Linked DNA regions of Drosophila melanogaster. The main gene of each other region encodes a partner of the protein of the gene in region 4 in a complex. Each region holds a gene or a part of one and is shown on either strand. Other genes may lie near its edges.

Evidence for each region.
Region 1: Spt7 (region 4) and Spt3 share a complex: the UniProt entries of both Drosophila melanogaster proteins name them as parts of the spt-Ada-Gcn5 acetyltransferase (SAGA) complex.
Region 2: Spt7 (region 4) and Spt20 share a complex: the UniProt entries of both Drosophila melanogaster proteins name them as parts of the spt-Ada-Gcn5 acetyltransferase (SAGA) complex.
Region 3: Spt7 (region 4) and Sgf29 share a complex: the UniProt entries of both Drosophila melanogaster proteins name them as parts of the spt-Ada-Gcn5 acetyltransferase (SAGA) complex.

What each region holds. Positions count from the first base shown.
Region 1 is NT_033777.3:12,013,088-12,020,445, reverse strand, and holds Spt3 (Spt3), read right to left. Parts: upstream 3,291-7,358; 5' UTR 3,221-3,290; coding exon 2,066-3,220; 3' UTR 1,896-2,065; downstream 1-1,895. Other genes in the region: DCAF12 (DDB1 and CUL4 associated factor 12), read left to right, coding at 3,628-3,894, 3,964-4,518, 4,578-4,982, 5,047-5,199; GCC185 (GRIP and coiled-coil domain containing 185 kDa), read right to left, coding at 5,860-5,942, 6,006-6,123, 6,187-7,358. UniProt on the Drosophila melanogaster protein: Component of the transcription regulatory complex SAGA, a multiprotein complex that activates transcription by remodeling chromatin and mediating histone acetylation and deubiquitination. The SAGA complex predominantly acetylates histone H3.
Region 2 is NT_037436.4:13,499,005-13,507,274, reverse strand, and holds the start of Spt20 (Spt20), read right to left. Parts: upstream 4,569-8,270; 5' UTR 3,927-4,568; coding exon 3,891-3,926; intron 3,820-3,890; coding exon 2,878-3,819; intron 2,820-2,877; coding exon 705-2,819; intron 636-704; coding exon 404-635; intron 341-403; coding exon 1-340. Other genes in the region: Tgi (Tondu-domain-containing growth inhibitor), read right to left, coding at 5,220-5,992, 6,061-6,375. UniProt on the Drosophila melanogaster protein: Component of the transcription regulatory complex SAGA, a multiprotein complex that activates transcription by remodeling chromatin and mediating histone acetylation and deubiquitination. The SAGA complex predominantly acetylates histone H3.
Region 3 is NT_033778.4:21,290,061-21,296,993, forward strand, and holds Sgf29 (SAGA-associated factor 29kDa), read right to left. Parts: upstream 3,587-6,933; 5' UTR 3,437-3,586; intron 3,382-3,436; exon of another isoform or gene 3,355-3,381; 5' UTR 3,300-3,354; coding exon 3,261-3,299; intron 3,206-3,260; coding exon 2,977-3,205; intron 2,925-2,976; coding exon 2,767-2,924; intron 2,698-2,766; coding exon 2,254-2,697; 3' UTR 2,179-2,253; downstream 1-2,178. Other genes in the region: CG10505 (uncharacterized protein), read right to left, coding at 186-268; CG30392 (uncharacterized protein), read right to left, coding at 1,226-1,521, 1,582-1,799, 1,867-2,024; RpL29 (ribosomal protein L29), read left to right, coding at 4,000-4,101, 4,171-4,299; CG9752 (uncharacterized protein), read right to left, coding at 4,375-5,150, 5,207-5,462. UniProt on the Drosophila melanogaster protein: Component of both the SAGA and CHAT histone acetyltransferase complexes, which both predominantly acetylate histone H3.
Region 4 is NC_004354.4:17,846,474-17,853,621, reverse strand, and holds Spt7 (Spt7), read right to left. Parts: upstream 3,163-7,148; 5' UTR 3,082-3,162; coding exon 2,939-3,081; intron 2,878-2,938; coding exon 2,775-2,877; intron 2,715-2,774; coding exon 1,881-2,714; 3' UTR 1,735-1,880; downstream 1-1,734. Other genes in the region: Mco4 (multicopper oxidase 4), read left to right, coding at 1-593; CG32554 (uncharacterized protein), read left to right, coding at 1,015-1,734; CG15814 (uncharacterized protein), read left to right, coding at 3,667-3,714, 3,812-3,846, 3,912-4,208, 4,277-4,505, 4,568-4,803, 4,861-4,981; Ucp4A (uncoupling protein 4A), read right to left, coding at 5,966-6,140, 6,203-6,691, 6,830-6,939. UniProt on the Drosophila melanogaster protein: Component of the transcription regulatory complex SAGA, a multiprotein complex that activates transcription by remodeling chromatin and mediating histone acetylation and deubiquitination. The SAGA complex predominantly acetylates histone H3.

The DNA.
Region 1 (7,358 bases), on a different chromosome or scaffold from region 4:
TGCCCTTGGGCTCCGTTCATAGGACGGATAGGTGGATGGACGGAGCAATGGCGATGGCGTTGGCGGGATCTTTCCGTTGGAGGCGTTTAATCTCATTCATTTTGAATAAGACCGGCTCCAGCGTATTTAGCCTGAGTACTTGTGTCAACACATTCCAAGACGGTTTCAAATTAAAAGGCCGTGTAATATGCTCCTCCGAGGGACTGTTTTTGTTTTGGTTTCCTTTTATTTTTTTGCTAGCTTCTAATGGTTTATGCCTAGACAACTGTCAATGGTCTCGGGGGCTGGGCATCGGGGGAAATTGCCTCCGGCTGACGTCAGCAACTTTTCGAGAAAGCGAAAGTAATTAAAAAAGTTTAGCCGAACGGATTTTCAAAAATATCCAATTGCTAAGCCAGACATGCAATTGATGTTTCTCAACTGCACACTCTTTGTGGCAAGTTAGAGAAATTAAAAGCTTTACTTAATTAGCCGCTCAGCAAACATGTTCTTAAACATAAGTCAATTTTGAATAAAAATTTTCAATATTCATGCTATGATTTTCTGTTTACATAGTGTAATTCTATTTAACTATCATTGTTAGAAAAGTTTAGAAAACAGTATCTTTCAAAACAGTATCTTTCGAAGGATAATTAATTCTGTATTCTAAATTATTCAAGAAATTAAGGTATAGAGGCATATTTACATACATACGTATAATATGAGGGCCTTCCCTTTAAGAGAAGTTTAAGGCAACTCGGCTACAAGGGATTGGGGCATATTGACTTTACGCGGCCTGGAAATTGGCTACGTGACTTGACAATACGAAGAAATGACGACGCGACGACGAGCTCCACGGACCTGATGATGATGGTCCTGTTGGGGACGAAGCGAAGAGCCGCATGAAATGCAAATTTGGAAACATTAACAGTGAGTGTGGAGAAGTGTGGGGAGCAGTGCGCGGGGTCAAGGAAAAAAATCACAAGGACGATGCTGGAATGGAAACAAGTTGTTGGCTTAATTTCGTCACAGCCAGCTTGTTTTCATTAACTGGCCATCGAGGAGCTATCGACTGCGTTCCGGCGCTCGTTAGGCGTATGAGCAATCGATTAAGAATAATGGGCCGTTGGAATTACATCTGCAGCACAGAGCAATCAACATTAAGATCCGATTAAACTAGGATATCCCACCGAAGAAAATAACAAGAGGATACCTTTAAAGGTGCATCGATTTTAAGTCAAATTTCGGACCGCATGTTATCAGATAAACAAGCGGGTGATAGGAATAAGAAAAATTTCAAATAAATGGTTTTTAAAAGTTATTTTAAAAAGGTTTTTGGAAAAGATTTGGATTTTGCCTTTGCTATACAATCATGACCACAATTGCACATATGTACATATATTAAAAGTTCAAGTGACATTGAGCAATAATTCTTAATCCTTTTCAATTCACGGCAAAAGACAGAATGAAACCCGCCACCCATAACTGCGGAATGAATTTTAACCCCTTTACCCTTCGTTGCTATGCGTGTCACACACATTTATATGCACAACAGGAAGTTGATTATTAAGTGCGTTCGCGAGTTGCTTCTCTTAATGCCTTATGCTGCAGTCTCTCCTGCAATCCTGCGGCATCCTTGCTGGTCCTTCTCCTTCGCTCCGTCTGTGTGGCACACGTGCGAGTGCGCCTGTCGGCAAATTTCTTTATTGCGCTTTTATTTATCTGTCGGTGCCAGTTTCAACTTCGTTTACCGCTTCAATTTATCGGCTCCATGCGAGGCAGATTCACCCGTCCGTAATTGGAGTGCGTTTTTCTGTCTTTTAGTCGCAGCCTCAAAGGCCAGGATATGTGCCACAGGCAAATTGAATTAATGAATATGCCTAGTTGTTCTTGACCTCTCAGGAAAAAACTTTTTTAACGAGCCAAAATTGCTTTATTTTATAATTTGTATAATTAAAATGTAGAGCGCGTTAATTGTTGGGGATTGAATTACTTTAAATGAATTAATTGTACAGTCTATTTTTTGTGAATAAAATCAATAATTGACGCAAATAAAAATAGGCGAGGATATTAAGATCATTAAAACTTAAATGGCTAGAAAACTGCGCCGGAAATCGATGTCGCAAGAGTTGCGATACCGCCCAATCTTACGGCTGCTCATTTGCCGGAAACGGCGCATGGCCTCGTGGATCTCCGGTACACTGATTGGCTTGACCACCTCCATGCCGCGACCCTGTGTGACCTCCGGACAGACGTGCATCATAGCCGGACTGCCTCCGGCGGAGGTCACTCGGCTGTAGGGCTCGGTCGCACGGTTGTCCGAGTTCAGGCGCGTCAGGATCGAATAGTCGACAATGGCGGCAATGGTCTCATGCGCCAGATAGGCCAAAATGTTCATTGTCGGCGTTGGGATGCGAAGGTCCGCGGGCAGGTCCAGAAAGCGGCGGAACTTGTTCTTGATCTTCTCCCCATGGCGGCAGTAGAATGACGTCTTGCGCGCCTCATTGAACTCCAGGTATTGCTGGCCCGTAAGGATCTGCGATATCCGATCTGCGCGGAATAATCTTCGCATTCGGTCCTCGTCGTGTAGCTCGTACACATCGATGGCCAGCTCCTCGTCCTCCTCCTGCTGCTCCAAGTCGTCCATGAAGTCCTGCGGCCTTCCCGTGCGGATACTAAGGAACCTTTTGAGTATGCGCATATCCTTGAGGTGCTTTCGCATCCGAGCTATCTTCACCGGATGGTTGCGCATCAGGAACTCAAAGTCCGCCTGCGACGGGCAGGGATTCTGTTTCCGCCGCATGGCCACCAGCGAAGCCTCATTGAAGATGCCGCGCAGCTGCTGCTGCAGGATCTGCTCCACCAGCTTGACACTTCCCGTCCTGGGCTGATCGCTGTCGCCGAAGCTTCGCATGATATCCGCAATCTCTGTGAGCAGTGAGACAGGTGCATCATCCGGAATGAGAACGTTGGCAACGTTGCTCCCGCTGGCACCACCGGCTACATTATGTCCAGCTAGGTTGATCTGCTGTGGCGAGGGATTCGTCGGTATGCTTCCACTTTGCAGCAGAATCACTTGGCGCTGCACAAGCAGTGGCTTGATGTCCTCGGTGGTCTGCAGTTGCGGCGTGCTGGGCGCCGAGGGCGGGGCAGGTCCAATCATTATCGGCGACGCTGCCATGTCGTTGGAACCCACGCAAACCGAGTTCTGTCGCATTACTCGCTTGGCGTTGTAGTTCATTTTATTTACAAACAAAGTCACCACTTCAATCGCAACAGCTGATTTCGTGAGAATAGATAAAACCCTTTGTGAAAGCGATGGCCTATCGTTAGGGATGAACGATAGTGTAACGCATTTGTGCGACATCCGACTTTATATAAATACTGTATATTATATATATATTATTATATATATATATATATTCAGGTAACCAGAGCGGCCGAGTATTGTGCCAAATAGAAAAATGTCAACACTTGTATTTTTATTTCCCTTAATTTGTATCTCTGCATTAAATGCAAAACAATCGGTTCAGCAAACTTCAGTTCCGAACCAGTAGTTCCACTGTAGTCTACGCACCACCATTTTTGTTTGCGGATGATAACCCGTAAAGCAAAAGACAACAAATCGGATTAAACAATTACCTTAAGATGTTCAACGGGATGGTGAGAACCATCCGCGACAGCGTCGTGGGCACCTATCCGTCCTGCCACGTATCCTCGCGGCTGGAGGAGCGCAGGGCCAAGCAGCGGGCGATGCGACAGGAGCGTAGACGAAAACCGGACAAACCAGACGACTTTGTTACTTACGAGGATTCCGGCAGCGACGAGGAGACGCCCCAACAGCAGGAGGAGGTCCTGAACACATCCTACAACCTGTGCGACTACCTGCGCAGCCGGGAGAGTGGACTCCGAGATGTGGGTATATGTTGTGAAGTCGCACCACTTGCATTGCTAACGTGAACTTTGTCCCACCATCCTCTGCAGCGTCGCAGTGTCAATGTGGAGTACACCAGCCGCTATGTGCTAACCCACGACATGCTGCGCGAGACGCAGATTAGTCTGGGCTACATCAACAAGGTCTTCTGCTCCAAGTGGCTGAGCAGTCGACAAGTGGTTTTCGGGACCAAGTGCAATAAACTGCTCGTCTACGATGTGAACATGCGCCGGGTGGACGCCATCCCAACGCTCTCAAATAGCCGGGCAAACCATCCTGAGGTCCAGGGTGGCCTGCATGCCATCGAGCTGTCGCCCAGCCGATCCTTCCTAGCCACCGGTGCGCGCAACTCCTCCGATATTGCTGTTTACCGACTGCCTACGCTGGATCCCGTCTGTGTGGGCGAGGGTGGGCACCGCGACCTTATAATGGGCATGTGCTGGCTGGATGACCAGTTTCTTGTGTCCGGATCGAAGGACTCGCGCATGGCTCTGTGGCGCATCAACGAGGATCACATGGAGTTTCCAGATGGCGGCGAGGAAGCGTGTCCCACATTCGCAACCATCCACCCCCTTAGTGTCAAGGAAGTTCGCACTGCCCAGAGGGTGAGCTTATGAATGCAAATCAAATCAAAGAACCATTTTATCAATAAGATCTTTTACAGATTCGATCTCTTTGCTTCAACAAGGAGTTTAAGGAGATCGCCGCCCTCTCGCTGAACGGATACATTCACATCTTCAATGCGGAGACCTTCAAGCAGACACTCTCACGAAAGCTGCCAAACTGCCAGGACAACGTGAGCATCGCCTACCACAGCGACGGCCTTTATGCCGTTGGATGCCGTTCCTATACCATCCTTTTGGACGCCCGAACCCTTCAAACCATTAAGAAGATCACATCTCGATACAGTGGCTGCGGTATACGGGCGACTTCGTTCGAAGGTAACCTGCTCACCGTTGGCACGGGTCTGGGCATGCTCCTATTCTACGACATTCGAGCCGGAAAGTATTTGGAGAGCAGTGTGAATGCCTCGCGCACAGTCGCACTCAAGTGCAGCAAAGGAATTGTGGTAAGTGAAGAGGTTACAGTTCCACAAAATACACCAATTCACCTAACTGTTTTGTACATTTCAGTATCCGGAGGATGAGATGGATGGCTTCCAGCAGGTGAAGTATGTGCCCGCCATCTACACCCACTGCTATGACAGCACTAGGATGCGCCTCTTCGCTGCAGGAGGACCACTGCCGGCGACTTTGGTGGGCAACTATGCGGGCGTTTGGCAATAGATTGGCATAGGATCCGATCCGGGCTCACAATACTGATTAGTATTTAAGTAGTTATTCGACTTGTGATCTTTAATCTTTTGGCGCATTTCGATTCAAATCGTTCACCTGCATATGTATTCCGCCAAGACAGAATTTTTATTTAACTTGATTACTCACTTTTGGTTTTAATGAAATTTATGTAAGATTTATGTTAATGATATTTTATATTGTGTGTAAACAATATACACCGTTTAAAAGTGTAAATGTAAGCATAAATACCGATCCTATTTATATATAGTACATACAATACAAATAATGGAATACTAATTTATAGACAATGCATCTGATTTATAGTCTGATCTATATGGTAATAGAATTTCAAATTAAACAAACCATTGAAAAACATTGTTTTTAAATATATGCAAAGGCTTTCTTCAATCTACAACGCGCATATTGCCGGTGGTGCTGTATAGGGCACTCAACACAACGGGTGTGGACAAATTACAAGAGTGTACAAAGTACGATGTGCCAAACAGCAACGAGCAATTTTAAAATACATTATATATAAAAGGGAAATTGTACAAGATTTACAGAATGAATGCTATGCAACTGCCCAACGACTGACGACTATCCGCATCCAACAAGACGAATATTTATATATTATATATCCTATGATGTTCGCTAGTTGTTATTATTGGGACTGCCTCCTCCACTCCACGCAGTGAGGAATCCCGTCCAGCTGCGACTGCTACCATCTGCAGAAACTAAAAGCAATATCTTAATACAAGAAACCATACTAAAATTTAAATTTTTCTGCTAGTAGTTACCTTTCTGTCCCTTGGCCACACAGTTCAGCATTTCCATTTCGTTGCGACTCAGGCGGAGAATGGTATTTAGCACGGGAACCAAGCGCTGCCGCTCATCGACATTGTTTAACGTAAGGAACTGCAAGTTTATAAAGTAAATAGATTAAGCCCGTGGATATAGTTATTGCGTTCCTGATCTCACCTTTAAGAAGACGTTCTTCAAGTACTCGGAGTTGTGCATGTGTTGTTCACGTTCCTCGGAGCGCTCTTGGCGGCGCAATTCTTCCTTGAGCATGTCGTTCATTTGGGTCAGTTTAGCCAAATCCTGTTCGTTTTCGGCCAACAGGGCAGTCAAGTGCTTGACACGACTTTCCTGGATGCTTAGGCGTTCTTTTGTGGCCTGAAGCTGGGCACTTTGGACGGAAAAGTCTCCCCGTGCGGCCATTTCCGCTTCCTCGTCCTCCTGCTGCGAAACGCTGCGTCCGAAATTAGAGATGGTAGTCACGGTATCGCTGGTTATTTGGTTCATTGATGTGTTGAGCAGCTCGTCAAGCGGCATGAAGTCGTGGGAACGTCTCGAGGCAGTAGATATCTTTCGCTGAGCAGCCAGTTGGGCCAGAGAGACGTCTCCAGCGTGGCCATCCAAGCCTGTTTCGTGGTCCATAAGCAAGTAATCGATCTTTGCCTGCTCTGGACTGGTGTCCACGCTCGCGGCGGATGCAGTGGTATGCTGAGAGACGTTTGCTTGCATCTTTTGCGCTTCCTCCAGTTGCTCCTGCACCTGCGTTAATTGCAACTGGTGCCCGGCGTCCAGCTCATCAACTTGCTGGCGATGCTGCTGCATCAGGTCGTGTTGGAATTGCAACTGGCGTTGGTTTTCTAGCGACAGCAGGTCGTTTTGCTGACGCAGTTCGTCAACTAGAGAGACGAGCTCTTTGCTACGCTTTTGCAGATCAGTGTTATCCTGTCGCAATTCCTCTATTTGACTATCCAACTGGGCCAGGCGGGCAGCTCTTCCATCGTTGCTGGCGCGCAGATTGCGTTCACTCTCTCGAAGCGCAACCAACTCTTCTTCCAACTCCTGTTCGCGGTTGGAGCCCTTATTTTGGTTTTTGCGCAGCACAGACTGTGCCTTCAACTTGTATTCGGTGTACTCTACTCGCAGGTCCTCCAGAGCTCGTTCCGCATTTCGAAGCGCCGTCTCCAATCGCTTTTGCTCTGCCAGGTGCATTTCCAGCTCCTGGGTTTGGCTTAGTAGTTGTTGGGTGGCCGTGTTTAGCTTCGATTCGTATTGTTGGGCGCTCTCCGACAGCTGGAGACGCAATTGCTCCGCCTCGAGCTTGGCCTGTTCAACGCCATGTTCCAAATCCTTGT
Region 2 (8,270 bases), on a different chromosome or scaffold from region 4:
AACACTTCGCTGGACTGCTGCTTCCGCTGCGTACTCACCAGCGTGGGTGTGCCACGGGTGGTCTGCACATACGTAGCGGTGGCCGCATCGGCAGTGTTTGGCGTCGACTGTTGCTGGTGCTGCACAAGCGTCAGCGTCTGCGGTTGCTGCTGGCCGGTGGAGGTGGTGAACGTTCCACTGGCCACGGGTGTGCTGGTCATCGCAGCTGGAGCACTGTTGAGCAGGTTTAAAATTGACGCATTGCTGGAGTTCTTGAGGGTTGTGGCACTGGTGCTACTTCCGTTGTTGTTGGTGCTGCCGCCTGACCCTGCAGCATTATTGTTGCTCGACGTGTTCCCCGCTGTAAGACAATTTTGTATTGTTATTTAGCATATTTCCCATCGAAGATTCCCACCGAACTTACTTTGCTGCTGATGCTGCTGCTGGTGTTGCTGCTGCTGTTGTTGCTGGTACTGGTTGGCAGAGTTCATAATGCTGTTGACTATGGCGTTTATTGCAGGATTCGGATGTATGGCCGTATTGTTGTTCATATTGTTATTGTTATTATTGTTGTTGTTGTTGTTACTAGTGGCAGTTGTCTGTTGTTGCTGTTGCTTCTGCATAATCTGTTGCTGCTGCACTTTCAGCTGCGTTTGCTGCGGAATAGGAGAGTACATAAAGTTATTGACAAACTAGCAATGCTTAATTGACCATGTTCTACTAACCAGTATTGGCACATTTGAGTTGAGCTGGGCACGCAGCGCTGAATTGGCCCCCACCACGGAAGTGCCCTTCACCTGCTGTTGCTGCTGTTGAATGGTGGCGGGCTGGATGGTTATGCCCGAATGTTGCAGCGCCTGTGCCAGCTGTTGCGATTGCTGCTGTGGCTGCTGCTGTTGCACAAGGACCAGGGAACCATTGCTGAGGCTAACTTGGTGCGTTGTTGTGGAGGTATTGCTGCTGCCGGTGGCCAACTGCTGAAGATGTATGTGTTGTTGTTGTTGCTGCTGCTGCTGCTGCTGTTGTTGCGGGACAATCTGTGCTGCAGCTTGCTGCTGCGGTGCCTCAATTGTGTATGTTTGCGGCTGCTGCTGCTGCGCTGATTGTTGCCGAAAGTTTTGTTGTACATTGATTACATTACTTCCAGCCAAATTGAGAGTCTTTTGAGTTATTTGTTGTCGCGGCAGTGCAACATGATGCACTGTGGCGGATAACTGCTGTCCCGCTTGTTGTGTCTGCTGTTGTTGTTGCGATTGTTGCTGCTGATTGGCAACAACAACGACTTGCTGCTGCTGCTGTTGTTGTTGCTGCTGCATTTGAGCTTGACGCTGCTGCTGCTGTTGTTGCTGCTGCAAGAGGATCCGCTGCTCATTCGTCAATCCCGTGTGAGTCACAATTGGCATATGCCCGGGTATCAAATGCGTGATTTTGACCGCCTTACGTCCCTCCTCGGTGAAGATCTCGCGGAACTGTTGAATGTATCGATTGGCATGCACCCGAGTGCCCAGCGCAAAGCGGCACGACTCGCCGTTTCGCTCACCCTCCCGGTAATCTCGGTCCACATAGAGCTCGCCGAGATACTCTGCATCGGAGGGGCGCTGGAAAATGGACAGCTTTATGTGGTATAGAGCCCGCCGGCCTTCACTCGCCTCCCGCTCCGTCTCAAGAATGTATTCCTCGACCAGCTGCGGTTGGAAGTTATGACGACAGTTTGGCTGGCAACCGTCCTTGCAGGCCTCACTGAATTCGTTAAGGGGCTCGTAGGCCTTGGCATACTTTTCCACGCTGATCACGTGCTCGGGCACCTTCAGATTGGCGGGATACTCCAGTGTGGGCGGACGAATGGGCCGTATGACCTCGTGTGGTCGCCGGGGCACCTTCGATGTGAACGAAGAGAGCATGGCCCCCACCAGCGGATTGTTGGTGGGCGCCGTGGCCGGTGTGGCATTGGCGCCACCACTGCTACTTCCCGTCCGCGGTCGCTGGCGCAGGCGAGCCAGGTAATCGCACAATTCCAGTCCGTGATGGTGAGTGAATTGGTCCAACTTGCGCTTCCGATTGATAGCCGTTTGGGTGAACTTCTTCATCTGGCGCCGCAGCTCGTGGGAGTTGTACAGCTGACGCTGATGCTGGGAGTTGATGGCCTGCCGCCCTATGCTGGGATCCGGCTCCAGACACAGCGGCTCCGCCGTGGCCAACACCAGCTGGCTCTCCAGGGCGAGCTTGTCCTCCGCCGGCAACTGGCTGCCCATTTGCTGCACTTCCGCGAATAGGGTGGCGTTCGTGGGCCTGAGCAGGATGTGCTTCATATCACAGATATTCGTTGAGGTGGCAAATGTCTGGCGGAAGTCGCGGATCTGGGCGATAACGCAGCCGGCATAGAAGACGCTAGGCTTGGCGTACACCCGTGTTCCCTCGCCATCCGACAAACTGACGGTCTCCGCTACGAGTAGATCCATTAAAAACTCCGGCAGCATTTCACGATCGATGCATTGCAGCAGCAAATCGTTCTCGTAGGGCCACCGAAGCACCTCCACGAGTCCAAAATCGTGTTTGGCGTGACCCGCCTCCGTCTTGGATTGACTTTCGTCCTGGGCTAGCGGCTTGGGACGACTCCGATGACTGCCCGTTCCCGTACCCAATCCCGCAGCATCGCTCGAGGTCTCGTCCTTGTCCGTGGGGGACCATTCGTTTGTTTGCGGATTTAGCACCATGTGCTCGTCATAATGCAGGGCCAGCGAGTATCCCTTATTGCCGGGATACAAGTTGACCACAATCGTGTTGAGCTTCTCCCGATCCACCAACCGCTCCAGTGTAAAGGATCGAGTGCGCTGCTTTAGCTGAAAGTGATAAGAGTCCTTACATAAGGTTTCCGCTTTTGATTGGCTCAACACTTACCCCTGTCTCGGCAAAGTAGTTTAGGTCGTTGCTCAGCAGTTGCAGGTACAGGTCCCTTATTTTCTCGTGCAGATTAAAGAACTTGCTGTTGCCCGACTGGCAGACGGATGAAGGTGGCTTGCTGTTGCTATTGGAGGAGGCAGCGCCGGCGCCAGCGCGCGCTGATTGCGACGACGAGGTGGCTGTGGAGACTGATGCGGCGGGTATAGCTGAGCTGCGACTAGAGGAGCTGCTCTCCTTGCTACTGCTATTGGACTTCTGGCGCTTGCTGGGCGACGACGTGGGCGATGCCAGGACATGGTGATTGTGCGTCTGGTGGAGGTGATGATGGTGCAGGTGGTGGCCGCCTCCACTGGCTGTTGAGTTGGCGGAGGGTGGCCGCTTCTCGGACTTCTTGCTGGACACACTGGCCGCTCCCGTTGAGCTATTGCTTAGACTGGAGTTAACGCCCGGCGGTGTCGACAGCAGAAGATCGGGCACCACCGGCGACGGCGACGTGATTGAGTTGAAGTTCGACATCGTTGTGGTGGAGGATGAGCACGAGGAGGGCGACGGAGCAATTGCAGTGGGCAGGCCGCTGGGCGTGGCCGAGGTCGGCTCCGTGAGCAGGCTGCCCAGTGAGCCGCCAGTGCCCTCGGTGGGGGACTCGTCGTCATCGAAGATACAAATGGGCGGCTGGGCAGGAATCTGTGGTATAGCCTGCAATAGGCTGGTCTCCAGGTACGATTTGCTGCTCGAGGAGGCGAACTGCTGCTGCTGGAGCGTGGGATGCAGCTGATGGTAGGACTGCTGCGGCTGCAGCTGCGGCGAGGATCCAGACGTGCCGTACTGGACGAACTGCGTCTGGTGGACACCCGAACCGTGGGCGTGGACCGCTAGGCCCTGGACATGGTCCGCGTTGCTGGAACCCTTTAACTTTTTGAGCGTGTCATTTATAATAAACTGTCGAAAAATAAAGTGTAAAATGGGAATTAATCGTATTCAGGCTGCATGAAAAATGCCACAGTTCTTACGTCGGCTTCTTGGCATGAGGAGTCCAGGCTTTGCATGGTGGTGCCAGCGGATTGCTAGGGGAGATCCAACGGAGGATGGCGCACCCAATTACCGACGACATCCAAGCACCAGTCTACGAACAATCCTGGCCAGGATCGGCGGCATTCGCATTGCGCTAGCAGGTGTCCGTGTTGCCAGTGAACGTCGAATTACGAATTTCTAGGACCGCAGACGCAGGGCTCCGTTGTTGTCTCCTACTTTCGCTGGCTGCTGCTGCTGCTGCTGCTGTCCATCGGTTAGTTTCGCCACACTCAGCACTCGGCTGTGCCGCATCAGGATCGTTTTGGGGTGCTCCTCGGTCCGTCTGTGTGACGAATCGCTGCACTGGAGGACACTGAGATCGGATCCCGATGGCGATTACTGCGGTTTCTTCACTCTTTTTCCACTTCCACTGCTGCTGCTGCTTTGCGTGACATTTTCTCTCTGCGCCCCTCTGCCGACGAACTCTCTTTCTGGCGCTGCTGCTCCGTGAATTTGCAAGGTCGCGCGCTCTGCTGCGGTTATGGGGCGAACAGTGGGCTGGTTCTTTAATGATACGCCGAGGATTGCTCGCTTTTAATTGTTTTAAAACTTTGTTTTATGCTTTTTTTTGCAATGTAAATGTACTGTACGATTCGTGCCGTGCGAATGCCAACAATCGTTATCGTTCGCTGTGAATGGCATTGTCGCCGTTCCGTCTGCCGTTAGTGGTGTGTGCACATTGGCTGCCCATGCACTGTGTGCTGTTAGGCGCGCGCTGTTAACGCTCTGTTAGCCGCCCAACAGTCATTTGAAAATTCAAAATATGCAATTCAAAATCTGAAATTTTGCAGTTTATTTCCCACTTTCGGTGAATGAATAGACAGACTTTGTAGGATTGTTTACTTATGTTTAATAGGTATATTATTAAGGATTAGTCTCTACCAACTAAGCGTTAAGAATACAAAATTTTGTCACTTGTACGTATACACTTTGTCATACACATTTATCCATATATATGTAAATATTCATATATATATATATATAATTATATCCGCGCGCTAACCGTTATCAATATTCAATAAAATCATTATATCAGAAACTTGTAATACACTCGCAGTTGAAGAATTTCCGTTCACATCAGCATGAGATCTTTAAACGTTAATTGTGTAGTTTGAAATATTTATAATAAAAACAGCTCTTGAGTTGAATCGTTGAGGATCAGGGGTTGCTTTTGGGTTGGGTTGTGTTGAGTTCTGTTGGGAATTGGGATCGGGATCGGGATCGGGTTGTGTGCGGGTTGGTGGGTGATTTGCTCGCTTGCTCCTCCTCTACTCCTTGTGCCCGCCCTGCAGCTTCTTCCAAGTTTCGCCCAGCGCCTTGGCAAAGTGGTCGTCCACCGAGGCTTCAGTCTTGGTGAATATCGAGATATTCGTGGACGAGGTGGGCGAAGCGGGCGGCGTCTGCGTCGAGGAGGCAGCCACGGCCGCCAGTCCCGGTTCAGCCTTCACCCGAATGATGGCCGGCATGCTGGGCGTGGGCGTGGGAATCTGCGACGGCGTCGGATTCGGAGTTGGTGTCGGTGTCAAAGTCGGCGCCACAACGGTGGTTCCGGCTATTCCGTAAGCCGGCGGTGGAGGCGGTGGTGTGTTGTATCTCGGCGGCGTGTGGTGTGGCGTGTCCAGGATCCGCCTGCCCGCCACCGCTGCCTCCATCACCTGGCTGACGGCCGTGGGTAGCGCTGGTGCCGATCCCGTGGCCGAAGGTGGCGGCGATGGCGGCGTTTGGGTGCGATGCAGTGCCAGCGACAGGGGAAGCGGTTCCTCCTGCGGCGGCGGCAGTTCCGGCTGCAGCGATTCGGGCTCCAGAATGACCCATCCCGACTTGGCCAGCGGCGAGCGTTGCTGCTGGTAGTGCTGCGATGCCGCTGTGCTGGTTGATGAAGGCAGTCCGTAGGCCAGTGGCGAAACCTGCTGCTTAGGTGTACCACTTGGCGAGGGCGTGGGTGTTGGCGTAGGCGTCGGTGACTTCTTGGCGAACAGGGCAGCATAGTTCTCGCCCAGTGAGCGTCGGAAGTGCTCGTCAATGTCGCACATCGCCATATCTGCAAGGCAAATCAAAGCATCAGGTTAGTATGATCGTTGACACTAATGTGCATATATGACTTCTCACCTGTAGAGTGGGCCTGCTCCGGTGGTTCTCGCTTGGGTGGAGCCTGGGTAATGACGCTGGGTCGACTGTTGGCCGCGTAGTTGGTCCCAGGCAAGGGTTCGCGATAGGGTGGCGGCGGTGAGGCTCTCTGCTTCAGAGCTCCCGTCGTCACCGACATGTCAATGGGACTGTCCATGTCGCGATCCTCTCGATCCCGCTCCCGTTCCCGCTCCCTCTCGCTGTTGCCTGCCTCGTGCGGCTGGTATCCGGCACTACGCTGACGCCGCTCGCGTCGCCATTTGGTGGTGGTCAGCACCTTGGACGTCGCACGCATCTCTGCAAGGAGAAAAAAAAAGAAACATCAAGAGTCAAAAACGGTTTTCAGGAAAACGAGCTATCTGTTTTGGCCATCTTTTTGGCTAGCCCTCTGAATAGTAATAGTCCATATGTCCATATTATAGACAAAAATCGAATTTCAATTAAAACCCATAAATTTGCTGTGGCTTTGCGGTTGATTTGGGTTTTGTCTGGCTAGCGATTCACCAATGCTCGTTGCGGTTTACGTGTCTGTCGTCTTGGCTTCGATTATGCGGTCGATGAGTGGGCGTAATGAATCAGTTGGAGTTGAGGCGAGGCTGACTCTACAAAGGTTCTCCTCCACCCGATCGCCTGCCTGCGTCTATGTATCCAAATCTCTACCCCCCCCTGGCCCGCTCTGTCCTGCAAGTTTGTTGCCTAAGTCTTTCGTTTTTTTGAATGAACCTCTGCCAAAAGCTGCAAAGTCGCGGAGCGGCAGAGAGCGGCAAGAGCGGGCAGGAGGAAGAGTTTAAGGCAGCACAGAAATTATGCACAAGAAGACGTAGCCGTCATCGGCAAAAAATATGAATAAAAATAAAACAAAAAAAACGGCACACACACACTCGAACAAATAAATAATAACAACAGAAAAAGCATATACAATCGAAACTCCAAGGCACCAACAAAATTGGTTACGAAAACTCGTTTGGTCTACGCTCTTTTTCGAGTTCGCCTGGGTTGTATGTGTGTGTGTGTGTGTGTATTAAAGTCTGGGCCTGGCCTACACTGAGCGAAACGCAGGAACGTGCCTGGCCTGCCAATGGGCGATTGACCGAGCTGCCGGCGTGGGAAGCGGCCAAAACGGAGCGTGGGCATCCCGTCGGGATGAAAGATCCATCTGCTCCAGGCGCTCAGTGTAGCTGCTGCTGCAGCTTGCCAGGAAACCAAGTTTATAAATAAAGCAAAAGGCTGGCAGCGGGAAGCCAGGTCCCAGAACCCAGTTTCTCGGCCGATATCGAAGGGGCAGGCAAACCAGTCGGGCGACTTCTGCACATTTCGAGCAGCGCAGAGAACCCCGTTTGGAGGAGGAGTAGCTGCAGTCCCAGGAACCCAGGCATGAATGAATGAATGAATGGCTGGATTGGGATGGAGGCGGTTGGCGTTGGCGGAGGAGCAGGAGCAGGAGGAGTGGTAGGAGCAGGCGGGAGCGTTGTCCTGTTTTTGGCAACGTCACTGCGGGGCTGCCATATATTACTACCTCTGCGAGTCCAACCAAACCGGCGAGGCAGAGGAGCACCAGTAAGAGGAGCCAAGAAACTGGTCTGTCCCGAGTGGAGCACTGGGCGCAGAGGATGACGAGGAGGTGGAGGAGGAGGGCGGAGGCAGTGAAGTTGGAGTTGCAGGCCAAGAGGCATTAAAAACCAACAAACACGGAGGCTGGGAGCAAACTTGGGCTTGGACTCGGGCTCGGGCTCGGGCTCAAGCGGATGATGATGGGGATGATGATAATAATAAAGAAACATTCAAATTTTATTGCACATTTCCGGTCGTCGGACGTCGCCGTCTGTTGGGGGATCGGCGGTTCGACAGCGAAAACAACAACCACAACAACGAAGACGAAAACGACAACGATGGAGCATGGAGCATGGAGCATGGAAGTTGGAACATTAAGCTTTCTTTTTGAGGCTCCCCCTCTTTTGCGGATTGTGGTCTGCAGCTCCCTATCTCACCTTCGCCGCCACCGCATTTTCAGCATCCTCTCGGCATTGTTTATTTGTTCTGCTGCCAGCGTTTTAATCATTTCTGTATCGGCTAATTGGCGATAAAGGGGAAGTCGATTGAATGGCAGGCCGTTTCGAAATTAAGGGGGAGTTCGTAAAAGGGAGCTCGAAATGGGGTTACATCGATGATATAAGCAAGGGACAGTCGTGGGA
Region 3 (6,933 bases), on a different chromosome or scaffold from region 4:
TGGGCATTACAAGTATCTTAACTTTTTTGCTTAAACTTTTCGGAGATGTTGTTTATCAGCACTTATTAGCAACAATTAGCACTATCCTTATCGCGAGTTGTAAACTATTCACTGATTGACCATGACCATCGTTTCCGCAGAGATTTTCACTTTTCACCAATAAAAAAAAAATATTGACGACTCACAGGAACAGCCACTTAGAGATTATATTGGCCTTGATAAACGGATTACTCTCTCTTTTCGGACTCGACTGCTTAGAAGCATCCATGGCTCCATATGCTCGCGGCGCCAGACGGATTGAATATGCCCCAAAACGGACGGTCGAAGGCGCTTTTAACGACTTCAGCACTCACAGACGGAGCAGTGACGTCTGTGGATTATTTGTCCGGAGAACCACCATCTTCTACGGTTTGCACTTGGCACAACGCCTGTCCAAACGGCGATAAAGTGGCCAACTCAACACGTTTTTTGAGAGTTCACCGCTTTTGATAGTGATACGTAGTGATAGTGACTAAGGCGTAATCGATAGCGCAATTAGACTGCAATTGAAACGGCGGCCATTACTGCAATTTGCGCTCCAAAAGTTAGCTCGCTAAGCCCAAATGGCCATATATCTTGACTGGATTCTGGAGATATAGGGGAGTTTTAGCGGTCTTTGTCTTGGACCATAATCACAAGCAGATACGCCAAGCCATTTGTATCCGAAGTGGGTTTTTTATGAGGTAGCATTCCCCCAGCAGCTTATCTAATCGGGATCGCTTATTATGCTGTTATATTTGGAACTGGCACGAGAAACTATGTTTGTCCAGGTTGACCAAGTTCAATACACCCAGAGATAAGACAAGTTTTCATTCATGACTAAAGCTTTAATGGCGTTAAAATACGGGGGATTTTGGAAATATTGCACAGCCTGTGGACAAGGCGATAGATGAGCGATTGCAGGCAATTCAAAATGCAAAATTAAAACTTACGTCTTAGGAAACGAATACTTGCAGTTACACAATCAATACAGAAAATTTTAGCTACATAATCTACGCCGGGGTAGACACCAGATCTGATAGAGAGTTAGATACAGTACAAAAGCATATTATAAAAGTATGGTATAATATCATATTATAGGCATCTTTTCTGGCTAGGGTAAAGTAGGGAAACTTTGGTATTTATCACTCTATCAGATCTTTTGAATGCCCCAGATGTATAGATATGGATTATGTATGTATGGATTCTAAGGCAGGCTGTGTAGATCGTATAGCGTGTAGAGGTCTTCTGTGCGATCGTAGTTGGTTCTCATATGCTTCAGCATGGAAGGCAGGTTCTCTTTGGCCGCCTCGACATCGGAGCACACTTTCTTGAGAAGATCTCCCCTAGTGGGCATCGCGTACATAGCCAGGCGCGCTCCTTTGCGGATGAGGAATGAGTGATGCTTGCCCAGGGTGTCATCGTAGGCCTCCTTGCACACGTCCACAGTCTTTTGGTCGTCGGGTATCGCCTGGATCCGATTGAGAAACTCGTAGACAAAGTCTAGATAAGAAGAAACCAATCAATTAGCCACTGTGGCAGTTATATGCGCATAACGCTCACCAAGACCGCGATGAAGACGTAGCAGCGTTCGACTGCCAGACACGTAACCCTTCTGAGTAAGCAACTGGGCCTCCTTCTCGTAATCCAGCATGGTTCTGAAGGTATTAAAGTGTTCCTGCTCCTCCGCGTCCTTGGCTCTCAGGGCGTATAAGATATCTATTTTACTGCGCACATCGCTGCTGACAAAACTGAAGACACTGCCCATGAGCTGGAAGAACCTAATGAACACCGAAAGCCCAATAGAGCACCACTAAAAAACATAAACATCATAATCACTCAGTTTACTTCATTATTTCCTCGTAGGCTGCCAAGTATGCGTCTAATTGTACGTCATCCTCGTCCAGAAGGCTGGTTTCGAACAAATTAGACACTTTGAGGATATCAAAACAGTTTCCATTTTCCGCCGTGCCATTGGTCTGCGTCGCTAAGCTCGTTTTACTCATCTTATAAGCCTGCCTTTCCCCTTTGTTTTCCTACAAACTTTAAAGTCTATTTATTTTTTTTAGGAAATCAATGTAACCGTTCTCCAAAAAATCCGGTATTAAAATACCACCCTGAAATTACTTTCTTCTTATTCCAGACAGAAACCAGTCTATTGTGAATTGAATACAATTTTAATTGGAGCTATTATTACAATTACATTTAATTCTTAAAGTTAAGATAATACATTTTTTATGCTGATGATAGATTCCCGCTGCCACTGCCAGCCCCCTTTTTCGTTGGACGATATGCAATCACATAGCGCTGTGCGACCGGCAAGGGTTCGGCATAGCCATTCGTGTACGATGAATCCTCGAATAGCACCTCGTAATCCTCGGTGGCGGTTTGCGGCAGGCGATGGACAATGGCCTTGTAGAAACAGGTGGTCTGTGGATATAGCGCCATTACCACTGTGTCCTTGGGGAAGAGGGCGTGACCATCGGTCTCAGGATTTGCACGCATTAGAGGCAGTGGGATGACCTTTCGCTTGCTCAGCACATGGCGATCCTTTTGCTCCTCGTCAATGTCAATTACGTCGTATTTGTTTTGACGGTGAAGGAACTGCACCACTTCCGCCAGGATCCAGTTCTCCTCCTCATCAATTCCCTTAGCTAATGCGGCAACATTGTCGCCAACCTATACAGTGGCGTCCGATTAGTCAGATCATCATCCCAGCTTCTTTGTCCAATCAAAATGAATGCTTACCTTGGCCACATAGTTCCCCTCGGCGGGAATGGCTCCACATAGAGCTGGTGCTCGTTCTCCTAGTTTGCCAACGAATAACGGCAACGTTTGCGCTGAGAGCTGCACCATTTTCATAAGGGCGCCCCGTCGAATGGCCTCCTTATTTCCAGCGTTGCGAGCTGTGGAATATGCGAGATTAAATCCTGTTTATACATCCCATCACTAACCCACCTTGGATGCGCCTCTCATTGCGAATGCTTCGAATCTCGTGGATTTTCGCCAGTGCGGCTCGGATTGTGGCCTCCTCCTGCGCAGCCTCCGTTAAACTGGCCTTGAGCAGGGGCTTAACCTTCTGATTGGTGGCGTGCAGAGATCGCACCAGACTAGCAATGGAGTTTTCCGCACGACGACGCTCCTCGTCCACATTGTGAATGTTTTGTTGAATGTCCTTCAGGCGATCCTGTAAATGCCATATAAATATAGTATATATCGACATTTATTGTTAACATCTTTACCTGAATCTGTTGGGCGGCACTCTCCGCAGTCAGTGGCATGTTGTTTCGATATTATAACAATATAATAAATTTGTTTTTTGAACACTTTGTTTACCTACGCAATGAAAACAAAAACAAGCATAAGCGTAAAGTCGACAACGCGTTAGTATTAACTATGCGATAGTTTTATATTTTACCTCAGTATTTTTTTAATCTTAGCAAATTTTATTTTACAGAGTAAAACAGAGTAATTATTGTTAAGATTTTTGTACCGTATAATCTCATTATTTGACTTTAGTGGATCTTTTTCTCAAACTCGAATATTTACTTTTCAAAGTTGTTTACGTTTCTTACATTGGAGATGGAAGCAAGTGCGCCTAACAGCACGCAGATAACAGCACGATATCTTCACGTGGTTGGCGTTATTTAGTCCCTTTTCTGCGCTCTATGACAGCCTCTCTGGCTTTCCCTTCTTTTCCATCGCGTTTCCGTAAGTGTGCTCCGCGTTTTTCCAATTGGCTATTTTTATTTATAATATCTTCAATTGCAGCTAGGAATTCCAGTGTGCGAAAAACGTAGGTGCCTAATACACGAGAAATGCAACGAAAATTTCAACAGTTGTTGGCTTTTTGTTCAACTGGCGTTGGCTAAAAGTGAACTCCAAGTGTTAACCCCAAGCTAAAATTATAATGGCGAACATTTTTTCTGTTTTCATGTGCCGCCCCATCAACGAATCTTTGGATACCCGGAGTAGTTTAAGATGGCCAAGTCCAAGAACCACACAAATCACAACCAGAACAAGAAGGCCCATCGTAATGGCATCAAGCGCCCGCTGCGCAAACGCCACGAGTCCACTCTGGGTGTAAGTATTCAAAAATATGCATATTTAGTTAGCATCTAGAGTTGATTTTAACAACCTTCCCGTCTTTAGATGGATGTGAAATTTCTGATCAACCAGCGCTACGCACGCAAGGGAAACCTTTCCCGCGAGGAGTCCGTGAAGCGCTACAACGAGCGCATCGCTTCCCAGAAGGGCAAGCCAAAGCCTGTTACTCTGTAGATGATTGCCCCGCGTGTGGATAATTAAAGGACAATTCAGTTTAACAAAGAACCGTCTTTATTTGTGTTGCCGTCGTTAGTAGTAGATGCTCAGCACCTTGTGGAAGGGAATGTGCTCCAGGTCGGCATTGTGCCGACGCCGGTAGTCCCACAGATATTGGTCGATCACAATGGAGTTGACGTTGTCCAGTGAGATTTCGGGGTGCTGCTCCTTGAGTATCTTCACCACAGCATCCCTAACTTGTTCGATGATGTATATAGATGCGCCGCGTATCTCCACCTCTCGGGGATCGCCGTTCTCCAGAATAGTATCCGTCTTTAGGAACTCCATTAGCTCACTGGTGTACTCCAAACTGCCGAAGTGCACTAGCACCTGGGGAATTCGGTAGTCAGCGAACATGGTTATCTGATCGATGTCATTAAAGAACCCAAGTCCCTGACCTCTGTAGCAGGACCACACATCGCCCACTAGGATTTGCGCTCGTTTTAGGATGGAAACTCGCTTTCCAGCAAACTCAGCCTCATCGCGAAAACAGGGAAACTCCTCCACAACGAGATCCAGCAAGCGAACTGCCGATTTCTCCGCCTTCTTGATAACATTCTCAAAACTGCCGTCGTACTTGTCGATCAGAACTTTTCCCACTTCATGGAGCGATTCCAGACGCTTTTGGAGCAGCGGAATCACTGTCTCGCCATCGTCAGAGCGGAAAATGTTCTCCACGGTTTTCAGATCAATCTGGGAATAGAACTTGGGATTGATCACATCCACGCCTTCCTTGATGGCTCTCTTAATCGCAGCACACAGCGCAAAGTAGCCGGTATAGCCATCGACCTTATATTTGGTGTAGTTATCTGCGGAAGATTACCATTGAAGATAGTGGATGCTGCTATAAATATCAATTACTCACTGGGGGTCCAAAAGCAAAAGTTCAGGGTGTCCAACACAAAGACCCAGTCGGCTGCTTTGGAATAATCCTCCGGCTGATTTGGATTGGGATGTAATTCGTGCTGCGAGAAGTTTTCCACAGCAATGCGTTTTTCTATTAGGCCTTTTACGATTTCCTGGGTCAGTTTCTCAATGCCTGCAGGCAGAATACGAACATGCTTGGCATTTTCTACGATATAGGCTCCAGATTCCCGGGGACTTAGTTTGCTGCTGGACATTTTAACAATTTTATTAATGTTTTTAATTAAGATGTCGCGACTTTTGGCGCTGTAACAGGCGTTTTGGTTTATTTAGGAGATTCGGGATGGTAAGTAGTCTGGTAACGCCACCAGGGCTGCAGACACGCCAGAACAGTTTCGGCCCGGTGGCAGCGCTGAAATAACACATGAAGGAGCTGCGAATTTCGCTCGTTGCTCGCGGAATAAAATAAGCAAATAATAGTTAAATGGCAATAGTGGGTCACCAACTAGCCGCCAGTTTTTTCTAACTGATTGTGTAATGTTCTAAAAGTGAAGTGCGTACAAAAAAGAGAACGCGTACAGTGCCGTTGATTGCTTAAACAAAAAGTCATCAATTTGTTTTTGTGTGGCTTTGTTGTTTGTGAATGCCCAGGAAATATTTAATTCACACGACAGTTACTCAAGTGCCGCACGTTCTTTGTGCGATTAAGAAAAATATTTTATCGACGTTTCAGTTGGCACCCACACACTGAGCCACCCGCACTCACACAGATACGGCTACGCGGATACAGATACATATACAGATACACGTGCGCTCAGCTGTTGTCGAGAGCTGCTCAGCTGTAGTTTGTTGTCATTCCGTCTCGAGATCCAGATCCCAGAAAATCCCAAGGATATACCCCCAAAAATCCGGACACGCAGATATATATGCCCTTGATCCAGTCAGCAGGTGAGCTATCCGGTTCTGGCCCGATCCGCTGAATATGCCGCATCACACAGGCTTCATTTTAATTTGTAGACACGACTGAATCCGATAATTATATAGTATACTACTTTAGCAGTGGCCCATAAGTAGCCTCAAAATGTGCTAACAGATTGTACACTTAAATAGTTGACTTATTCTCCATCGTATTATTCACTCTTGAGTTTCCCACACACACCAAAGTAAAGTATACGTAGTTTACATAAATAAACTTAGAGACCTAGAACTTGCAATATACACACTTACAGTATAGACGCATTTATTTTTATAATAATAATAATCTATTCCGAGCCCCGCGCGGATTTCGCTTTCATCTAGCAATCGTCACTAGTTTAATTTAGTTATTTGTTTACTTTTAAAGGGAGCGCTATCGGCTGTAGGTTTTTATTTAAACTGTAATCTGTCATGTAATCAGTCATAATACCTTGAGTGCTCGAAAGTAAGGCACTCTTTATCTTTCCCCTTATCGTGCACTCCACATTTTGTATCCTCGAAGTGGGGAGGTAGCTTAAATGCGATCTAGATACACAATTTCAATACATCATCGTCAGTAATTGACCGCTCGTCAAATTTAATGTGCTAATTTGAACTGATCGTGCATTGATTTCTATATTTTTCCACAACGATCTTGTCAAGCGATGGAATCCAAATCCGTAAAGGTACTTGAGATCTTCTTTAAGCCATCCGCCTCACAATCATGTGCTAATTTGCGAGATAAATCAGACATTTGGCAATCATTGATCGCAC
Region 4 (7,148 bases):
CCTTCTACACCAGCATGAACGCGTTCGAGGTGCGGCAGGGCGAGGGCTTCCGCTTCCAGATGGACGACATCAGCTTCAGCATGCCCAAGATGTCGCTGCTGCAGACGCGCAACCTGGGCGTTGGCCAGTTCTTCTGCAATCGCTCCCAACAGGCGGATCTTGGTTTCAATTGCCGCCAGCGGCACTGTCAGTGCTCCAACGTCATCCAGGTGCCAGCCAACCAGCAGGTGGAGTTCGTCATCTCCAGCCTGTCGCAGACGCCGCATCCCATCCACCTGCACGGCTACACATTCCGTGTCGTCGGGATGGGAGTGCTGGGGGAGCAGAAGATTGGCCAGATCGAACAGATCGACAAGAAGACGCCGCTGCCGCGACGCGCCAAAGGTGCTCCGCTGAAGGACTCCGTCCAGGTGCCCGCCTTCGGGTACACGATCCTGCGGTTCTACTCGAACAGTCCCGGCTACTGGATGTTCCACTGTCACATATCGCCGCACTCGGAGAACGGAATGGCCGCAGTGGTGCGGGTGGGCGAGGATGTGGAGATGAAGATGTGCCCGGTGAGCAACTGCGGTCTGTGCAGTTCGGTGGCCTAGTGGGGTTCCTGGGTCCCGAAGTTATCACTCAAATCCCTGTATAAGCAATAAAAGCGTTAACTTTTAGCTGGCATTATTTCGAATAGATTGATTTTGAGCGGTTGAATTTGTTTTACAGGAAACAGCATTAAATGTAATAATCACCGTGGAAAGTTGGACTGCACTTCCTTAATTAACAATCAATCACATTAAATCACTTGTTTAGATTCTTTTAAAATTATTAAAAAGTCTGCTAAATGGCCAAATCAAAAATATTATCAATCTCCTATTTGTAATTTCGAATTCCATCATAGCGCTTTTAGAATCTATCGATACTTATCGCTTTGGAAAATGGCAGTTCCAACCATCGTGCACGTTAACGGCACACCTATCGTTTAAAAATTAAATGTAAATAAATAAATATTCAAAGAGCGTACAAAAAATGCCAGTTAAATCAAGGGATAGCGACTCTGATTCCGAGGACGACGCCCAGATGCGCCAGTTCCTGGAGGCGGCGGACACCACGTTGCTCACAAATGCCATGTATCAATCGCAGCCAAAAGAGGAGGCGCATGAAGTAGCCAACGAGGAGCAACCGTTGGCCACTAGGAAGGACGAAGCACAGCCGGTAAAAAGTGAACGCTACGTGGAGGATCAGGACGCGCCTGCCAGCGATCTGCAGATCTCGCAGGAGATGCAAACGCACATTTGGCGCAGACTGAGCGGCATAATCCAGGAGCAAATCGAGTTCTCTCTGGATGTACCCAATGGCGTAGGCAAACAGAAGCCCCCACCCGACAAAGTCAAGCTCGTGTCCAATGCCGATTGCTATTTGATCGCCGATTTGGTGGTGGAAGGTCCTGCAGGTCCGAAAAAGAAACCTAACATAAGGAGACGGACCCCCGAAGAAGACCAATCCGCGCCCGAAGCTCTGGACTCTGTGGTGGTCACTGGCAACTCCATACTGGAAGGCAGGGACCTGCTGGCGTGGGCCCAGAAAAAGACGCGCCACGACAAAGTGTTCCAGTACAGAGCCAGCGATCCGAATGCAACCAAACTTGTGGCCATTGAACCCACCAACGAGTTCACCAAGCGGAGGCGACAAAACAACTGGAACGAGTCGAGGATTAGCAAAAAGATGAGCAATAAACAAAACACGTAATAAAAACTATTTAATTAGTACGTTTCCTTAGAGCTTAACTTAACTTGAGCCTAGAGATCTTAGTCGTTCTATAAAAAGTGTGAAACATTTGATTGCTAGAGATATCTCAGTGTGAGATAATGAAGTTATCCCCGCAATTTTAACAATTACGTTTCAAAAGTGGCGTGAAAGTTGCTAATCGTGGCCCCATTGCCATTTCCATTGCCGCCCGTGCTGCCATTGCCGCTCGTCCCCGTCATGTTGGAGGTATTGGACGATATCTGGCCATCGAGCAGGCCGTACAGCATCTGCTGGGAGCTGACTGTGCCACTGGAGCCCGTGCTACCGCCCAGATCCTGCAGCATATCGCCCATGGCCATGCCGCCTATGCTCTGGCTGCTGCCTGTGGCGCTGTTGTCCAGGATGTTGAGAAAGTCGTGGCCGTTGAACTCGTTGTGCTGCTTCTGCATGCTGCTCTGGCTCTCCTTCATCAGTTTGTCGTACTCCTGCAGTACGCTGTTGAACTCAGCGATCTCCGCGCGATTCCTGGCCAGCACCTTGTGCTTGTAGTAGTTGTGCACCTGGGTGAGCGAGGTGCCCGTTTGGGCGAAATGGGCGCGCTCCAGTGGGACCAGCTGCAGCACCGTGGAATTCTGCAGCCGCGGCTGACTGTCATAGTAGCCGCGATACTCGCCGATAAAGCTGCGCAGGAACTCCTCGGTGGCGTCCGTCAGCAGTTGCACCGCCGACTCGGAACAGTCGGTGAAGCCGGCCAGGCGCAGCATGCCGCACATCACCTTGCGCATCGCCTGGCGGCAAGCAGAGCTGGGGATCTCCGGATATGCCTCCGGATCCCCGCGAGAGTAGGCTGTGTCCACGGTTGGTGTGAACCAAATGGGCTTCTGAAACTTTTGGCTGCCCACCAGTTCGGCTGCGTTCTCCGGCGGAAAGTCCACTTCCGGTATCATTAGGCACGGATTCAAGAGGTAATTGGAACTTCCCTATGAATTCATTGGGTAAATTAGGTAAATACTACGGTTAAACAAGAACCAAGAACTTGCATTTTTGTTGGAGTACGTTTCAATGAGGGACTGCAGCACCTCGGTTTGCTTCATCACCTCGATGGTCTGGGTGACCAGCGCACTCCTCAGCTCCAACTTGTGGCTACATGGAATATATGGTTAGTTTACCGGCTGCGTTAAAGCTTTTCTTTAGATTTATTTACTGCTTTTCTTGCGGTTGCGGATCTCCGCGCTGGCGAATCTCGTCCAGCTTAAGTTTCTTGGCCGCCGTGGGCACGTATTTGTCCGGCGTCAGTTGACCGCCGTCATCCTCTGCGGGCAGCGAGCCCCAGTGCTCTGTTTGCATGTTTATTTCGCTTAAAAACCTACGTACAACATTTACTTAACAATATATTGTTGTTTACTTATCGGGCCCTAAAATAACATGGTTGGTTATCGGGACTATCGATAAGTTTGCTTGCGCTGGGAACGAAATACTCAACTCATTGAACCAAACAGCTGATTGTCGGTAAACATCGGCACGGCCTGCAGCGGCATCTGGCAACGTTGGCCTCGAACGTTTCGTTTTCGATAATCAGAAAGCGCTGTCGTAGCTAAAGTAAATAAAGGTTATGATAAAATAGCAACAATTTGGGAAAAACCCCATACTCAGGACAGCTGGTTCTAACAATCAGGTCGCGCTTGTATTTTTGTGGCTCACGTCACACATACATGTATTCGTTTTTTCGGCCGCTGTGACAAATGGCAACGCCACTGCAGCTGGACAAGCACACAGGCATAAAATGTAATTATTTGTTTTCGTTTCACGAATTTCAAAGGTAAAAACCGATCGCAATACGTGGTGGGCAAGATAACGCAGCGACGCAGACGACGAGTGGGACTGTCCGGCGGATTGGCGGCAGCGGGATACGGCGGATACAACGGCAATAAGATGCACCAGGAGCACATGGACCTGCATGAGCCCGTGGACTTGAACAAGGTGAGTCTTTTCTAATGGGAATCGAATAGGAAGCCCCACTCTACTGCCAAATTTTCCCTCTTCCCTGCAATTCCCTGCTAATGCGGATGTCCATCAGTCCCTGGACGAAATGACGCCGGAGGAGCGAATGCGGTAAGTGAAGTGGCCTTAGAAAATCCTTTAAATCATAACAAATTTTCGGCTATCCAATCGAACAGAGCGCAGCATCAACTGATGGTGGAGAAACATCGCGGCCACGATGCCATGCACTCCGAGATGGTGATCATTCTGTTCGTCACCCTGGTTATTGCCCAGATCATCCTGGTCGAGTGGAAGAAGCGGCACTACAGATCCTACGCTTTCGTCACCCTGCTGGCCATGTGGCTCATTCCGCTGATCATCTCCTGCAGCTTCGGCTGGCTGCGCTTCATAATCATCTGGCTGGTGTTCACCTGCATCACGGCACTGGTTATGCGACGGGCCATCAGCAAGCCCATCCAGGGCACAACGCCTAGGTGAGTCAACGTAGATAAGAACGGCGACCGACGAAGGCCAGATAATAACCCATAAAATCCAATTTCAGGCTGGTCTACAAGTGGTTCTACTTCATCTACAAGCTCAGCTATGGCCTTGGCCTGGTGGGCTATCTGGTGATCATAGCCGCCTTTCTGGGCATGAATTACATGTTCTCACAGCCACCAAACACATGGATGGATGTGGGCCTGATGTTCTGCTTCTACGGCCTGTACATCGGCGTCCTGGGGCGTGATATATCCGAGATATGTTCGGATAAGATGGCGGCAGCTATTGGCGTGAGTTGACCATTGGCCAGATACCCAGTTGGAATCTTCTAACCCTCCCGTTTGTCCCACAGTACTACACACCTCAGGGTATTCCAACACGACATCTTGATCAGAATGTCTGCGCAGTGTGTGGCAATCAGTTGCTGGTCTCGGAGAAGGAAGAGGGCGTCATTGAGAACACCTACAAGTTGTCTTGTAACCACGTATTCCACGAGTTCTGTATACGTGGTTGGTGCATTGTGGGCAAGAAGCAGACGTGTCCCTACTGCAAGGAAAAGGTCGATCTCCAGAAGATGTTCCGCAATCCGTAAGCCATTCAGAGCCATCCGTTTGACTGGCCTACTTAATATTGTTTCTCCTCTAGCTGGGAGAAGCCGCACGTTTTGTACGGTCGCCTGCTGGATTGGATTCGTTGGCTGGTGGCCTGGCAGCCGCTCATCTTTTTCATAGTACAAGGCATCAACTGGATGCTGGGACTGGAGTAGATCCTGATACCGGCACTAGCTTTCCTCGGCGTCTAGTCAAGCACACACACTTCGGATTAAGTCCTGCACATGAAACCACACGGAAAACACGACGATGGAGAAACAACGACAGACCAACCTGGAGGGGCTGCGAAACACCCGCACCACTAGTACCGTCGCCGTTCATTCCCCCGCTCCCCTCCACGACTCCATTACATGAACCTGAACCATGATGACGATGACGGATGAAAGATCTGTAGACGAATGCCATTGCCATCCAATCTGTTTGCGGGTTTCCAGTTCTGTGTGTGGTTTGCTTTTGGGCACCCAAATTTTCCTTTTCCATTGGAGTCTTTAATCGAAACGTAAATGCAATTTTGGATATATGTATCTATATCTATATATTATACGTAGCTATGTATTTATGTACATATGTGTGCCTGTGTGTATGCCTCCTAGGTATTATTACCAATTTTATTTTCTTGATTTTACTTAATTGCACTCGAGCTGGTTAGGAATATACATATACCAAAAAAAATCTATTGATAAAATACTTAAAACTGTTTCACTTTCACTGAAGGAAGGGAAAAATCCTATTAATAATTTATTTGCCAGGATTATACAAGTTCCATTGACCACCAGCATTGCTGTCTCTTTCGATTTCGCTCGACTCTTGGGAAATTCTTAAGTAATCGCCTAAGTAATATCCGTTGAAATAACAAGTTTCTCGCTTTATTGTAAGTTTTGATTTTAATCTTAAGGCAACAACAATAACAAAAGGTAAGAGAAAGAAACCTGAAAGATCTGATTGGCATAACAGACTAAAATGGACAGAGTATATGCTGCTAAGCTTGGCCAGGAGCCGCACAACATCCTCCTGACATTTGGGCATTCAGGCACGGAAAATAGGATTATGACCGACTTAAAGGCGGGGTAACATGAACGAACTGCGTTATACATGTGCTTGTATGTACATCTACACCTAAACTTAAATTGAGCCACCGCTCAGTAGCCGGAGGCTCCGATCATCTTGCGGATCTGTTCGAAGGACAGCCAGAAGGTGAGCGACCACGGCGCCATTCGTATCCAGCAGGGCAGAAAGCCTTTGTACAGCGCCACAAAGCCCTCCTTCGAAACCGTCTGTCGCAGGCAGTCCACGGATCCGCGATAGAGCAGGCCCCTGCGAGAATAACATAGGTGATTAAGCGTTCCAATAGTTAAATGCGGCCATTGGTCACTTACCGGCCATTCTCGTCGGTGGGCTGGTTCATGATGCGCGTCTTCACCACATCAGCTGGCGTGCCCATGATCGCTGCCACGAATCCGGCACAAACGGAGGCCAGCACGTGCACTGTGTGACAGTCGGGCATCTGCAGGCGATTCATGATCAGGTGCTTGATGGTGTCGTATGTGGTTAGGTCGCCCAGATTGACCAACGCCGCTCGCTGCACATTCGGGATGCTGCCCTTCCACAGGCCCTTAATTCCGCCACGCTGCACGATCTGGCGGAAGGCATGGCCAGCGGAGTGCACCCTCGGTGGCTCGCCCATCAGACGTCGTCGGCCCTCCATTTGGATTTGCACCTTGACGAGGTCAGCGGGCGAGGCAAGCCACTGGGCAACGGCTCCGGCCGTGACGCCGCACAGCGCCGACTTCCAAACCGGCAGAGCCTGGGTGCCGTTCTGTGTGAACTCCTTGCGCATCAGGTCGTAGCTGCAGATCCTCACACCGCTGCGGATGGACATGGGAGGACAGGGAGAAGTTGGGTTAGAACTTGCTGAGCTAATGGCTGATGGCTAACAGCTGCTGGCGCAGATTGGCTGTGGCGGTGATCTAGATGCTAGAATGAGGAGTTTTGGGAATGCCCACCTATAGACGACGTGTCGGTAGAGCGCCGGCGTTACGCCCTGCCACAGCTTCAGGGCGCCCTCCTCACGCGCAATCCCGAAGGCGGTGGCCACCATGCCGCGGTATTGCATCTGGTAATGGTAATCGTTGGGAATCGGTAATTGTGGGTGGTTCATTGTAGTATCTGTATCTGTATCTGTATCTGTTGCAGGCCGAAAAACACAATATTCACATGGAACAGGCACATACACACACAAACGGATTGGAATGGATTGGTCAGTGGGATGGGGGTCCTGTATTGCTAGGCCATTCCTATCGCATATCTAATTCCATTTACTAA